Linked DNA regions of Pelodiscus sinensis. The protein of the gene in region 1 binds, or shares a complex with, the protein of each later gene. Links are inferred from orthologs where the notes say so. Each region holds a gene or a part of one and is shown on either strand. Other genes may lie near its edges.

The links. Proteins that work in one complex are often made in the same cells at the same time.
Region 2: the proteins of DIAPH1 (region 1) and PPFIA3 are in contact, whole or in part, in a crystal structure (PDB 4UWX), measured with the Mus musculus proteins. The link is inferred for Pelodiscus sinensis from reciprocal best matches to the Homo sapiens genes DIAPH1 and PPFIA3. Residues at the interface, in NP_031884.1 of Mus musculus: Lys252, Ser255, Ala256, Ile259, Gln307, Asn310, Ala311, Thr314, Pro315, Ala316, Glu317, Arg322, Gln352, Cys354, Val355, Glu358, Gln359, Glu362; in NP_084017.2 of Mus musculus: Pro719, Arg720, Arg723, Leu724, Arg726, Met727, Ala728, Ala730, Leu731.

The regions. Positions count from the first base shown.
Region 1 is NC_134727.1:1,073,440-1,081,531, reverse strand, and holds the start of DIAPH1 (protein diaphanous homolog 1), read right to left. Parts: upstream 3,057-8,092; 5' UTR 2,997-3,056; coding exon 2,895-2,996; intron 1-2,894. UniProt on the Homo sapiens protein: Actin nucleation and elongation factor required for the assembly of F-actin structures, such as actin cables and stress fibers. Binds to the barbed end of the actin filament and slows down actin polymerization and depolymerization.
Region 2 is NW_027465870.1:75,862-83,040, reverse strand, and holds the start of PPFIA3 (liprin-alpha-3), read right to left. Parts: upstream 3,052-7,179; 5' UTR 2,913-3,051; intron 1-2,912. Other genes in the region: LIN7B (protein lin-7 homolog B), read right to left, coding at 5,684-5,705, 6,072-6,235, 6,369-6,578, 6,944-7,015. UniProt on the Homo sapiens protein: May regulate the disassembly of focal adhesions. May localize receptor-like tyrosine phosphatases type 2A at specific sites on the plasma membrane, possibly regulating their interaction with the extracellular environment and their association with substrates.

The DNA of each region.
Region 1 (8,092 bases):
AAGGCTAGGACTATAACAGAGTTTAAAAAAGACCTAGATAAATTCATGGAGGTTAGGTCCATAAAAGGCTATTAACCAGGGGGTAAGGAATGGTGCCTCTGGCCTCTGTTTGTCAAAAGCTGGAGAAGGATGGCAGGAGACAAATTGCTTGACCATTGTCTTGGGTCCACCCCCTTTGGGTCACTGGCACTGGCCACTGTCGGCAGACAGGATACTGGGCTAGATGGATCGTTGGTCTGACCCAGTCTGGCCGTTCTTATGTTCTTGAGGACCACACCAGGTGCCCCAGAGGGAGGAAATGCAACAGAGAATCCTCACGGGATCCCTTCCATCGCCCATTCCCAGACAAACAGAAGCCAGGGACACCATCTCTACACTACGCAGCTTTTTAAAGACAAGGCTGTGTCGACAAAGCCCTGTCTCAAAGCCAGTGTGTGTGTGTGTGAACACTCTTAGTACTTTTCCTGACAAAACACTTCTAACCTCCAATGACCAGGCTTTGCTCCGTCAGCAGGAGTGTTCACGTACTTGCCAGGGCAAAACTTTGTCATTCACTGAGGAAAGGGGGAGATGATTGCTGTTAAACACCTGTGAATGACAAAAGTTGTGTCAAACAAGTGCAAGTGTAGCTACAATGTAAAAGGGAATAATCCAGCTCTCCTGACACAATTATTCTACATCTCAAAGCAGGGGGTGGAAGAGCCCATATAATCACAAAAAGCAAAAAAAAAAAAGTAAAGACTGAGGATGTACCTACACTACACAGCTTTTTGCGACAGGGTTGTGTCGACTCAGCCTTGTTGCTAAAAGTCGGCACACACCAATGCCAATGAGGGGAGGGGAGAATGGGCTTAAGCACCCATGAACAAGTTTTGTGGAGCAACGTGCAAGTGCAGACACAGCCTAAGAAAAGCTATTAAAGCAACTATGTCCATTTGTGCTTCCAACCCAGACCCATTTTCCTTCAAAGGCCACTTCAGAACTGTTCTCTATTTTCTCCTGAGCAATAGTCCAAATTTACAAGTCATCCTTTGGCACCTTGAAGACTAGCAAATGTATTTGGATATAAGCTTTCATGAGTTGGAGCCCACTTTGACAGATGCATGGGCTCCAGCCCACAAAAGCTGTTAGTCTCTCAGGGGAATGTGGTGAAACCTATGCAAATTGGAACTCCTTTCAGAGGGATAGCTGTGTTGATCTGTTTCAGCAAAAACAAGGTGTCCTGTGGCACCTTAAAGACTATTTCATAGACTAAAAGTCTTATTAACAAATGGTTTCTGATATGCAGTCTTCTTTCGCCTTAAGAAAAGAGGCAGCTTGGTTTTAGTTTTAATTCTTAAAAATGAGATTGTACATAATTCAAAAAACATAAAAAGCAAATTGTATTTTTTTTAAAATTCCAGTTTAAATATTCTCCAATGGTTAGCGAGGGAAGGGAGTTTGGTTTTATTTGCATTCTTGAAGCTGTGTTCCTTTTATTCTCTCCATACTAAACCATAGTTCACAATTTCTTCTTATATCCTTCATAATCGTATGGATCATTCCCCCTCCTTGTGGCTACACACCCACACTGAACTACAGATAGGGATGTTAAAAAGCGGGTAATTAGGTAATTCTGTAATCACTGAAAATCTCAGCAGTTACATGCACCTGCAGTGCCTACCACCCCACTCCTGGGGAGGCGGCTCCCGCCCCCGTGCTGCCACCTTTCTATCAGAGGCAGCAGCAGTGCAGGATGATAGCAGGCTCCTGCCTGCAGTCCAGGAGTGGGGTGGGAGCCTCCATGTTACTGTGAATATGATTAACAGTTTAAATGGTTATACTTTTACATTCCTAACTACAGGCACTTCATTTTTCCTCAGACGAATGCCTCTAGTCCCTCAATCATTCTGACTGCTCTTCTCTGAATCACCTCCAACTTGGCTCCATCCTTCTACAGACACAGCAGATTCTTAGCCAGAACAAGCCTCTAATCCAGTGATGGGCAACCAAGGCTAGTGAATGGGCCGCATGAGTGGCCCTACATCCCAGTAGGACACAAGATTGTCATAACCAAGACAATCTCCTGGGATAAGCTAGTTTTGCTCACTGTGCCTGAGTACCTAGAATTTGCGGGCTGTACCGACTGAACCGAAGCAGCGCTGTGATTGGATACAAAGAGAGTGCACGGCTCTCGCAGTCAAAGTTGTGTGCAATCAGCACACGCCTCACTTCCTGTGCACTGACTTTGTGTGTGTGTCATGTGAGTAATACAGACAGGAAAGCAAGGGACTCTGGCAACCCTGCACATGGGCAAGAGAAAACACAATGTCTTGTGGACTCCACACACAACTCTGATGGGCCTCAGGTGGTCCATGGACTGCAGGCTGCCAATACCGGTTCTTTGCATCCCGCAGCAGCCAGGGCCTCAGAGAAAAAGAAACCTCCTCACGCGCTCTTTGCCTCAGAGACTTACAACAGACACGAACGATTAAACGTCCCACAAACGTTTCAAGTGACTCCAGCTGGAAGCATTGCAGCGCCCGCCCAAGGCCCGTCCCTTCGCTTCCTGCCCAAGGGTGCAGAGCGGGGGCTGAGCAGCGCAGTGTGCGGCACCGCCCGCTCCCCTCGGCGGGGCTCCCCGGGCTGCGGGGCGTTTCCTTCGCGGCCTGAGCTCCCCCCGGAGCGGCCCGCGCCCGGCGGAGTCCCGGCTCAGCGAGGGGCCCGCGCTAAGCTCTGCCCGGGGGGGGGGGGGGGGGGGCGGGGAGAGCCCGGGGGGGGGGGGGGGGGTGTCCCGGCTCACAGCCCCGGGGGGGGGGGCTCGAGGACCCGGGGGGGGGGTGTCCCGGCTCACAGCCCCGGGGGGGGTGTCCCGGCCCGGGGGGGCTCCGCGCGGCGGCCCCTCCCCCACTCACGAATTTCTTGGACTTCCCGGGGTCCGCGGGCCCCGCCTCCTCCGGGCCCTTCCCCTTCTTCTTGTCGCGGCCGCCGCGCGCCGGGCCCCCGCCGCCCTCCATGGCGCCGCCGGCTCCTCAGGCCCCGCCGCCCAACCGCCCCGCGCAGGCCCCGCCCGCCTCATTCCGCATGCAGCCGCTCATTAGCCTGTCAATGAGCGCCCGAATATTCATGAGCCGCCGCTTCCGCTTCCGGCCTGGGCGGCGCGCCGCTTCCGCCGCCGCAGCGCCCCCTGCCGGCGGGAGCCCCCACCGCCCCCGGCCTGCGCTGCCCCGCCGCTCGAGAGCCAGTGCCTGGCCGCGGGGCACGTGGACCCCCCCGGCTCCCGCGGGGCACGTGGACCCCCCCGGCTCCCGCGGGGCACGTGGACACACCCCCCCCCGGGCTCCCGCAGGGCACGTGGATCCTCCCCCTCCCCGGGCTCCCGCAGGGCACGTGGACCCCCCCCCCCCCCGGGCTCCCGCAGGGCACGTGGATCCTCCCCCTCCCCCGGGCTCCCGCAGGGCACGTGGATCCTCCCCCTCCCCGGGCTCCCGCGGGGCACGTGGACCCCCCCCTCCCCCGGGCTCCCGCAGGGCACGTGGACCCCCCCCCCCGGTTCCCGCAGGGCACGTGGACCCCCTCCCCGGGCTCCCGCAGGGCACGTGGATCCTCCCCCCCCCCCGGCTCCCGCAGGGCACGTGGACCCCCCCTCCCCCGGGCTCCCGCAGGGCACGTGGACCCTCCCCTCCCCCGGCTCCGGCAGGGCACGTGGACCCTCCCCTCCCCCGGCTCCGGCAGGGCACGTGGACCCTCCCCTCCCCCGGGCTCCCGCAGGGCACGTGGAACCCCCACCTCAGCTGAGCTCCCACAGGGCATGTGGAAACCCCACTCCGACTCCCACAGGGCATGGGGAATCTCACCCCCGGCAGAGCTGCCCCAGGTCATGTGGAAAACACCCCCCACACACACACTCCCGTTGGACAGGTGGAACCCCCACCACTGAGCTCCTGAAGGGCATGTGGAACCTTCCCTACTGAACTCCCACAGGGCACGTGGAACCCCCCCCTCCCCGAGCTCCCGCAGGGCATGTGGTACTCTTCCCCCCTCCCCCAGCTGAGCTCCTACGAGGCACATGGAACCCCGGCTAAGCTGCTGCAGGGCAGGTGGAACCTCCCCCCTGATGTGCTCCCACTGGGCAGGAGGAACATACACACCCTACCCACTGAGACCCAGCTGCTGCCAGCTCAGGCATCAGCTCCAGCAGGCCCAAGCGTGGTCCTGCCTGCATGGCCCCTGTGTCCTCAGCGACGGACTGACAGCCCTGGGCACACTGAGCACTAGGCTTCAGTTTTTCTAGCCAGGCCCTGGCAAGCGGCTATAATGCCTTACAGCTGGTAGTGGGACCTATCTGCATGCAGGAGTGGGACCCATCACCACTACCTATCCCACCACCTCTGCTATTTTTTCCCCCTTTTCATAAAGCACAAGGCATTTAAACTGCATGAAGGTTGCTGAGTTGCATTTCTTACCCCTAAAATTACTAAAAATCAAGGACCACACCAAGCTGAGGGATCAGCTTCCCCCTCTCTTTTTCAGGAAACCACCCTGAGAATGATGCCAAACTGAGAAACAGCTTGTCTTTAGTGTCAGAAAAAACACAGGACCTGTGTACTAACTAGCTTGCCCGTAAGCTCATATATAGAACACAGACAACATATCATTGCAATGAAGTTACAAATCTCAGTTACTGAGAAAAAACACAAGCTGGTATCAGATTCAGCTCTCTCTTCTCCCCCATCATGGCATTCGAACAGCAGCATAACCAAAGAAAGGGCCTTTACGGAGTCAGACTCTTAATGGATCACTAGGGTACACTGCACCCTCCTTCCGAGGGCTGTCTGCACATGCAGCCTGTAGCATCTTACAGCTCGTACAAGCTTGGTACAGTCTCTCTTTACCAACAAATCACATTCAAGGTACTGAAGTGAAGGTGCTGAGCCTGGAAGCACACGCCAGAAGCGGCCCAGAGGCTCTGTGCATTTCCATCCCTCCCTCTTCTACTCAGGATGGTGAGGAAAATTCAGCAGGAGAGAGCTGCTAGCTGCTCAGCCTTTTCTCCAAGAGGCTGAACAAGTTCTGCTACCGTCCACGAAACCTTCCAGCAGCTATTCTTATGTTTTGAAGTGGAAACATTCCTGGAATGTGTCCACTCTTTTACAATGTTCCTCATGTTATTTAACCTGTTCTGATTCTTTGCTATTGTACAGAGGAAAACAAGGGCTATAAATACCAATGAAATAAGAACACAAGGAACACATATTAGAGTGATATTTATAATCTCATTCACTCATATTTCACATTTGCTCACTGCTTTATACAGTAAGAAACCTTGGAAAAAAGCACGGAAGCAGAGAGAAAATAGAAATGAACCCTAGGAAGGGAGGGAGAGATGGCACTCAGAACATAGCGTCCCAGGGAGAAGCAGTGCTACCCAGAGCCAGGAAATTGTCATTGTACAACACTAACCTCAGTCTACAAGCATTTCATCAGACCCATCCAAAGCCCAGCCCATGCACATCACTTTCCTGGAAAGCCTTGTCAGACAACTCTAAAAATAAAGATGTCATCACATTTGTGGAAAGCTTCCCTTCTGTGGACTGGCTATGTAATTTAGTCCACATGGATCTTTTCTGCCTGTCTTGCAAAGCACAAGGCATTTCCAGGGTGATAGTACCAACCATTTTTCTTGTAATGGGCTTCTAAGACAGCAGTGTCCCATATGCCTGCTTCAGCTTGGTAGGCCCCAGAACAAACAAGTCTGTGTGGAAAGAAAAGTCCCTCATTAATTTCATTCTGAAGTGTACATCTTCCTAGGAGCTTCCAGTTTTTACACAGCTCCCCTTCCCCACAGAAGAGAGCCAGGGATCACTGTGCTGTAACTTCAACATCTGCTCTGACTGGAGTTTGACAGATTTTAAAAAGTCTTCTGGTGAATTCCATTTGAGACCCATTGAAGCTTTTTGTATTCGTTTCTGTTTCGCTCTGGTATATGAGAGGATCCTCACTATGTCAAATAATTCCATGATTTTCTGCATCCTCCATTAAACAGATTGCTGCACTTGGCATCTCTCGTTCACACACAAGTAGTACTACAAAAATTTTGGTGCACCTATTGCACCAAAGCCAAGCTAACTACCAAGCATCTAAGTTATGCATATATTGCTAACATTAGTTTCATTGGAAGCCTCTAGGGATAGGGATATAGAGATCTCTCTCTCCCTCGCCACACCCACCACCCGATAGATTCAAAACGCTGTAAGATGTGAATGTAATTCTGACCAAGCCTCTGGAAGCTCCTTTTGAGTTTAAGCTTATGCTCTCTCCGTGATATTTCCCTGAAGGGTACATTGCTAATGGCTGTTACCTCTAGGATACACAATGTCCTTCTAGCTTCTCCTCGCAGACTTTTTTCAAGTGAGAGAAGGTGGCTTTGCAGGCTTCTCCCCAGTATATGCACCCAGGAAGGATATAGAATTTTACCTCTTAAGTCTGCTCAGTTCCCGGGCTTCTTTCTAACTAGGTGGGACACTTGCTCTTCACAACGATGCTAAGTGGGAGAGGTAGGATGTTAAAAACGCACTTAATCTAAATCCTGTAGGCGCCTCTAAAAATCCTAGGCTCGGTTGCTGTAGAGAAGCCATGGCATTTGCAAGTCACACCACTGACAGGCTAGGGAGCACAGAGATCAGGTGATTTGTCTGAGAGCAAGTTGTATATTCAGCTCTTATGAGCCAACTGTCATCTCAGTGCCAGGCGGACTCGGAGGAAAGGCAGCCGCACGGGCATAAGTAACGTCCGTTCCTAAGCCTGTTACGCTGCTACTCGAGCTTGCCTTTCGACTTTTCTGAAATGTTCTTCTCTCAGGGCACGATAACACTCGTCACACCCGAGATCGACACTCAGCCTTCGATGTAGCAGGTTCCATTTAGACCCGTAAATCAAATGCTGAGGGCGGCAGCACCTGCGCTCCTCGCAATCGCAAGGAGGAAGGGAAGCTGACGGGAGTATTTGCTCCCATCAGCCTCCCGCCGTGTGGACGATACCAAGCTCGGCTTAAGGTAAGCCCACTCCAGCTACGTATTCTACACAGCTGGAGTTGCATACCTCAAACCGACCTTGTAGGTCCAGTGTAGAGCTGGCTGCAGTCTGGAAGCTGGATCAGATCTCTCTGTGGGCGTGCAGTACTTCCACCTCTAATTAGCACTTCTCAGGCTGCCTCCCAAATTTTGTGACTGCTCACTGGTTTCCTAAAGTGGGATTTGCACAGGAAGTGTTGTGGGAGAAGAGAAGGTGACAGGTGTTTCACTGAATGTATTACCGCCTCAGTTCTAAACCGATTCCTGCTAACCGTCCCTTTCCAGAAACAGACCCTCCGAGGAACTGAGAAACGACTTGGGGCAAGGTTTCATACGTGCTCTTAGCTCCAGAATGGTGTGAGGCTAAGTGATGTACACCCACTAATCTCTCTCGCCATTCTGATGGGCTTCCCTGGCTCACTGCAGAGGCAATGCATCCAGAGAATCCCATACTGGTAAGGAACCCTTCCTTTTTGTGTACATTGCTTCACATCTGATGCATTAGAAGCACTTTTAAAAAAAACCATTAACCCCCCCCCCAAAAAAACCCACCTAATTTCAATCCTTTTTGTTGGATTTCACTGCTGAACTGAAAACACAAAATACATTCAGCAAACAGGTCAGAACCACCTTCTCTTTACTAACCCAGGGACTGCTGCTTTGCCTGTCCTCGATTTCACAGACGTTATCCATGCCATGACCTCACTAGATAGGCTCATCAAACCCAGGCTTCCCTTACAAAAGGAAGCCCAGCTCCCATGGATTGCAGTATGCTTCCGCTGGCTGGAGAGAGAGCTCGCCTGTGTGCATGGAACACTGGTGAAGCAGCAAGAGTGTTTCTACAGCTACTTTCACTGGACAGGTCTGAGCGTGCAGCACTTGAAACGTCTACAGGGATCAGAACCGGTCCCTACTTCCAGTAGCTACAGCAATCACTCAGAGAAATACTGCCACGTGTGCCAATCCCGGGCCATTCTCACTCATTCACTATTGCCACTCAGCACTGCTGAGATCTCAGAACTCCTGCAAGAGGAGAGCTC
Region 2 (7,179 bases), on another chromosome or scaffold:
CACACACAACACACCATCCCAGTGCAACCCCGCCACACACACAACGCAACACAGCGCCCCAGTGCAACCCCGCCACACACACAACACACCATCCCAGTGCAACCCCGCAACACACACAACGCAACACAGTGCCCCAGTACAACCCCGCAACACACACAACACAACACAGCGCCCCAGTACAACCCCGCCACACACACAACACAACACACCATCCCAGTGCAACCCCGCCACACACACAACACAACACAGCGCCCCAGTGCAACCCCGCCACACATACAACACACCATCCCAGTACAACCCCGCCACACACACAACGCACCACAGCGCCCCAGTGCAACCGGGCAACACACGTTACAACATAAACACCACATTCTACAGGGACAATGTAACAGCCACCCACAGTGCAACCCCGCAACACACACAACAAACACAACACACCACAGCGCCTCAGTGCAACTCTGCGACACACACAACACACCATCCCAGTGCAACCGTGCGACACACGTGCCACAACATACACATAATGCAACATGCTACAGACAATGCAACACCTGCACATAAAGCACTAGTGTGAGAATGCAACACACACAGCAATACGTGCTACTAATACAATGCAATACACAAAATGTATGCCACAGCATGCCATCTACCCATAATGCAACAGTGAGACAACACCACACACATATGCACAGCAACATACACTACCAACACAATGCTACACACAGCCATGATGCAACAACCCACACCTGCAATACAATAACACAACACACACACGCTACAGTTTACAGCACACTGCACTAGCAATACCCGTTGCAACACCCACCCATAATGCAACACGCCCAGTGCTACACACAACACAATGCTGCCGACAACGCAACACCTACCCACAATGCAACAAGTACAAGGTGCAAAGACCCTGCAACACCCAGGCAAAGAGCAATACCCCAACACACACACACACACACACACACACACACACACACACACACACACAGCCCCCTCCTCTTCGCAGGGCCTGTGCCTGCAGACACCTCCCTCGTCTGGGTTATTTATAGACAGCGACGAGACTGGTGCCCCTCACCCCCATGCCCAGACACACTCAGATGGTACCTGTGCACAGACACACGCCAACACACGCCCCAACACGCTGACCCCCTACTCTCCCTTCCCCCATGGCCCCCACCTGGGGACACAGAGCCGGATGCCCCCAGGGGTTCAGCCACACTCCCAGCCCCAGTGGAGGGTGCCCCGGCACACGCGTGTACGGTTACATGCCTGTCCCACGCCTGCCTGGCTCACATGGGGCAGCCAGGGCAAGGGGGCACCGGCGACATCCGTGCATGGCAGGGCCGAAGGGGGCTGCATGGGCAGCGTTACATGCGTGTCTCCATGCCCCCCCCCCCCAGGCTGGACCTTGCAGCCCTGTTTGGCATCCGCTGGGAAGGGATCAGGAGGTTTGTGCCCCCACAAACTTTGGGGTCACCCCCCCCACATACTCCTGCGGAGCTGAGGCCCTCCCTGAGGGTGGATCCGTGGAGGGGGGCAGCTCTGACCCAGAGGAGTGAAGAATCCAAGTGGGGGGGGGCCTCTCCCCACCCCACCCCCAAGGAACACAATGCAGTTGGGGGAAGGGTGGAGGAGCTGTCCAGCCCCCTTGAAGCATCCCCCCCCCCGCAGAATCAGCTGGGATCGTCCCCCCCCCCCCCCACAAGGTCCAGCTGCCTTGCCCCCTCCCTGTAGATTTCTCCTGCAATGGGACAGAGGGTCCCCCAGAGAGCCAGCCCCCCATCCATGGAGGGAGACACAGGGCCCCCGGGGGCAGTATGGGGGGCAGACAGAGGCTGGAGGGGGTCAGAGAAGGCAGCGGGAGGGGGGTGCACACAGGAGGATGGCTGCGTTGGGGGGCAGGGCGCTAGGGAGCGGGGCTGGGGAAAGTGGGGGGGGGCCGGGCAAGGGGGGAGGGCAGGGGCCGGGCAGGGGCTGGGGGCGGGGGCGGGGGACGGCCCGGCTCCTACCTGCAGCGCCGCGAGTCTGATGCTGCGGAGGCCAGTGGGGGAGGGGGGCAGGGAGCTGTCCCGGCTCCTACCGGCAGCAGCCGAGGGGTGCATGGGGGGGGGGGGGAAGCAGGTGCACGTCGGGGGATGGGGGCCGATGTGCGCTGGGGGAGGGGACAGGCCATGGGGGGCGCAGGGCTGAGCTCCGGAGGACGCAGCGGGATGGGGTGCATCTGCAGGCTGGGGGGGGCAGGCATGGGAGATGAGGGGAGCGGTGGAGATGCATGGCCAGGGTGGTTCAAGGGGGGGGTGCGTGGCTGGGAGAGGGGAGAAGGGCCGGGGGTGCAGATCGAGGGGTGTATACAGGGGGGAGAGGCTTGACTTGCACCGTGGGGGGTGCCCGACTGGGGGGATGGGAGGAGATGAAGTGGGGCGGTGGAGGGAGATGGCTGGGCTTGGGGGGGTTCATGCGGGGGAGGGGTGCAGATGCAGGCAGGGGATGGAGGGGGGGTGCAGGGCTGAGGGTGCATTGGGGAGGGGTGCAGATGCAGGCAGGGGATGGAGGAGGAGGGGTGCAGGGCTGGGGGGTGCATTGGGGAGGGGTGCAGATGCAGGCAGGGGATGGGGGGGTGCAGGGCTGAGGGTGCATTGGGGAGGGGTGCAGATGCAGGCAGGGGATGGAGGGGGGTGCAGGGCTGAGGGTGCATTGGGGATGGGTGCAGGGCTGGGGGGTGCATTGGGGAGGGGTGCAGATGCAGGCAGGGGATGGAGGGGGGGGTGCAGGGCTGAGGGTGCATTGGGGAGGGGTGCAGATGCAGGCAGGGGATGGAGGGGGAGGGGTGCAGGACTGGGAGGGTGCATTGGGGGAGGAGGTGGAGATGCAGGGCAGGGATGGAGGGGGGGAGGGCAGGGACGTACCTGCGGCGGCCGGTGCCGATGCTGCGGAGCCGGCGGACGCCCGGGGGTCGCGCCCCTCCCCCGCCCCGCGCTGCCGGAGCCCGGCCGGACGCGGCTCCCGGCCCCTCCGCGCCGCCCCCCGCCCCGCCTCTCCGGCGCCGGCCCCTTTAAGGGAACCCTGAAGGACGGGCCGCCTCGCCAATGGGCGGCCGCCAGAGCCCGGGGCGGCCGCAAAGTCCCTCCCAGGCGCGGGGGTGGGAGGGGGCGGCTCCGAGCGCCGGGGTCCGGCGGCCAATGGCTGAGGGGCTGCCGGGCGGGGGAGCCAATGAGGGAGTCCGGGAGGCGGGGCTCACTTTTAGGATGATGTCATCCGGTGTGCGGCGGGCGGGAGGGGGGCATAGGGGCAAATCACACGCCGGGGAATTGCCCCAACCCCGCCCCCTGGGGAAATGCATCCCCCCCGGGAATTATCCCAGCCCCCCCCTCCAGGAAATGCATCCCCCCGGGAATTATCCCAGCCCCCCCTCCAGGAAATGCATCCCCCCGGGAATTATCCCCCCCCCGAATTGCTCCAGTCCCCTGCTCTGGGAAACCTCCCCCCCCCAGGGAATTGTCCCAGCAAACTTGGGGCAGGCTGCCTAGGGGGTGCAAAGATTGGGGGATGGTTCTAGGGTGGAGGCAGGTAGCACCAGCCTGTCCAACCCACCCGGGGGGGGGGGGGAGGGCTTGCCCCACATTGCACTTCCTGCCCCCGAGCCAGCATCCCTGGAAACACCGCTGTGTGGGTACCAGCCTGGCCCCGCAGGGTCAGGTCCCCGGGGGGTTGGGTTTCTCTCCGCCCCACGGTGGGGGACCAGGGAGGGAGGGCCCCCCAGCTCCATGCCCTCTCCTTGCTAACTCCATGAACCCCAGAAACCTCCCCCTGCCTAGGACCACCTGGCTGTGGCCCTCACCCCCCCAGCCCTGAGTTGGCTCCTGTGTGGCCCAGGGCAGGGCTGTCAGCCCACCGGAGGCAGCTCCCCCAGGGTCCGGGGAGCAAGCTAGGGAACAACCTCCTGGTCTGGGAAAAACGGCCACCTCATTAGCTACCTGATTCTACACTGGGGCCGAGGATGGCGTTAGCCCTGCCGCAGGCAGACGGACAGAGCCTGGAGCAAACATCCCTTCCCCACACAGCGGGAGCGGCTGCCCCACAGCCAGAGCCAGAAGTGAAATCACCTCTCCACTCGCCCCAGCGAGTCCCCCTTTGCCCCCTGGGGGTCATGCTCCGCGAGCAGGGACTGCGGCCACCCCGGGATCGAGGCACAAAGGACACAGACATGCACACCCCAGACTCAGTCGCATCGTTTTATTCACAGTCAGGCAGCCCCCCCTTCTTCCAGCAGAGGCGGGAGCCGCAGCAAAGGGCACGAACGTTTGTGACTGGAAGAGGGACAGACAGCAGGGACTGAGAGCGGGAGGCACCCGTTGGCTCCCCTTCCCTCCCAGAGCCAAGAGAGAACCCAGGAGTCCTGGCTCCCAGCACCCCCCTGCTCTAACCACTAGCCTCCACTCCCCTCCCAGAGCCAAGAGAGAACCCAGGAGTCCTGGCTCCCAGCACCCCCCCCTGCTCTAACCACTAGCCTCCACTCCCCTCCCAGAGCCAAGAGAGAACCCAGGAGTCCTGGCTCTCAGCACCCCCCCTGCTCTAACCACTAGCCTCCACTCCCCTCCCAGAGCCAAGAGAGAACCCAGGAGTCCTGGCTCTCAGCACCCCCCCCTGCTCTAACCACTAGCCTCCACTCCCCTCCCAGAGCCAAGAGAGAACCCAGGAGTCCTGGCTCCCAGCCGCACCCTCTGACTCCCTCCCTGGGAATCTCACCCTTGTAGTTCCCTGGCAGACTCAGCAGCCAAACCAGAAAAACAGACTTGAGGGGGGTGACTCACTGAGGGAGGGGCGCATCCCTGATTCCCAAGCTCCATTTCCCACCCCCAGCTCACCTGGGGAGCAGGCAGGGAGCTCAGCCCCACCTGCCCTGGAAGGGGCAGGAGAAGGGAGCTATGGGGGATGTCAGGGACCAGAAATGATGCTGCAGGTTGGGAGTGAGGGGCACCAGCAGGGCTGGGGGGACAGAGCTTGGGGGGGGCAGGGGCTTCTGGCAGGAGTGAGGGGCACCAGCAGAGCTGGAGGCAGGAGCTAGGGGCACCGGCAGGGGTGGGGGGCCGGGGCCGAGCTGCTGGCCGGAGAGAGGGGCACTAACACCCTACACAGGACATACCCCAGTGATCCCCCACCCCCCCAAGCAGCGAGTTCGCCACCTGGTGGCCACTCACTGAACTGCACCATAAACACATACTGGATCAGGGCCCTTCTGGGGTGGGGTGCAGGGACAGGGCAGACGCGGACCCCTCGCCCAGCACCGGGACACGGCCCCTCTGGGCTGGGCACACGGGGACCCCTCGCTTGGCACTGGGATGGGTCGAGGGGCAAAGACACACAAGAATTTGGGACAGGAAGTGAAGGCGAATCCCGTACAGTGGGTGGTTTGGGGGCAGTGCATTTCTCCGGGATTCCCCCCCCTTCCCTGCCTTCAGCAGAGCCCTCCCCCCCCCCCCGACCACCAGAGTCTCGGGTGCCGGATTCCCACCGGCTCACGCACAAGGGGCAGTTTTAAATAGGGGAATAAATAAATACGGTTCACGGCAGGGCCGGTGTGGTCCCGATAAATAGACCCAGCTCCACAGAAAAACTGGGGGGAGATGTGGGAGGCCGGGCGGGGGCCCAGCCTCCCCAGCACGGGACCTGACAGGGGTTATCCCCGCGACTCCAGAGACCTGGGGAGAGAACAGAGGGAGACATGAGTCGCAGCAGAAACCGGGGGGAGCAGCGAGATTTTGGGGTGCTGGTACCGGGAGATTTGGGAGGCCCTTAGGTGTAGCAGGGTGCTGGCGCCAGTGGCGGGGAATGTGGGGGGGGGCTCTTACGAGTAGCTGTGGTGCTGCTGGCGCCAGTGGGGGGGTTGGGGAGGATGTGAGGAGGAATCGGGGCGGTTGGGGAGCTTGGGGGGAAGCTTCCCTCACAAATAGCTGCGGTGCCACTGGTGATGTAGGGGGATTTGGAGGGTTTGGGGGGCTCTTATGAGTAGCTGTGGGTACTGCTGGCCCCTGCAGGGGGTGAGGGGGGGCTCGGGGGGCCCTTACGAGTAGCTATGGTGCTGCTGGCGCCGGCGGGCCGTGCGCATCTTCTCGAAGCGGGCCTCCATCTCCTCCAGCACCTTGGGCGTGTAGCGCACGACCAGCTTCACGGTGCCCTGCGCCGCCTTCAGCAGCTCCACCGCCTTCTCGTGCTGCTCCCCCTCCACGCTCTGCACCGCCGGACAGACGGACACGTGGCAGGGTCAGAGGGGACGGACGCTCCCGCCGCGGATGCCCTCCCCCGCTCGCTGCCTCAGTTTCCCTGCGCCCTCAGTCCAGCCGCCCCCGAGCTCCCCCGCTCACCACGCCGTTGACAGACAGCAGCTGGTCGCCCCGCTTGAGGCCTCCGTGCCGGTCGGCCACGCCGCCAGGGATGACGCGGGAGATGTAGATGGGTGAGTTCTGTTCCTTGCCGCCCATGATGTTGAACCCGAGCCCCTCGTCCGTCTTGGGCAGCTCCACCACCCGGGGGTGGGCGTGGCCCTCGCTTGCCGCGAACGCCGCCACCGTGGCCTGCGGGCAGAGACCCAGGGTGCTGGGGGGGGGGGGCAGGCGGAGGGACCCTACGCCCCGCACCTCTGCCCCAGTCCCTAAGGTTAGGCCCAGGCCTCAGGGGCAGCTCGGATCCCTGGGGGGCAGGACCTAGGCCCAGATCCCAGGAGCCAGAGGGTCTCCGGTGGGGAGGGAGTCGGGATTCCCAGGGGGTTACTTAGGTTCCGATTTCACAGGGTCCCAAAACCCAGGAGGCAGGATTCCTGGGGGGAGGGGGTTACCTCGGCCCACATCTTGGGGTGTCCAGGACAATACCTTGGGCCAGATATCGGGGGCAGAGGGTCCCCAGGGCACACCTAGGCCCAGATCTCAGGGGGCAGAAGTACCTTGGCCGTGGCATGGGCCCGGATCTCGGCGCTGCCCGCGATCTCCAGCGTGTCATAGAGCTGCTCATAAACCTGGTGGTGGAGACGAGGAGGAGGGGCTGTCAGGGCGAGGGCTGGGGATCCCAGAAGTCCGGACAGTGACCATCGAATGCCAGGGGAAGGGAGATGGGGGGGGGGGCTGGGCCAGGGCACGGGGGCTGCAGTGGACTCAGTGTGGAGACGGGGTTCCCCTAGGG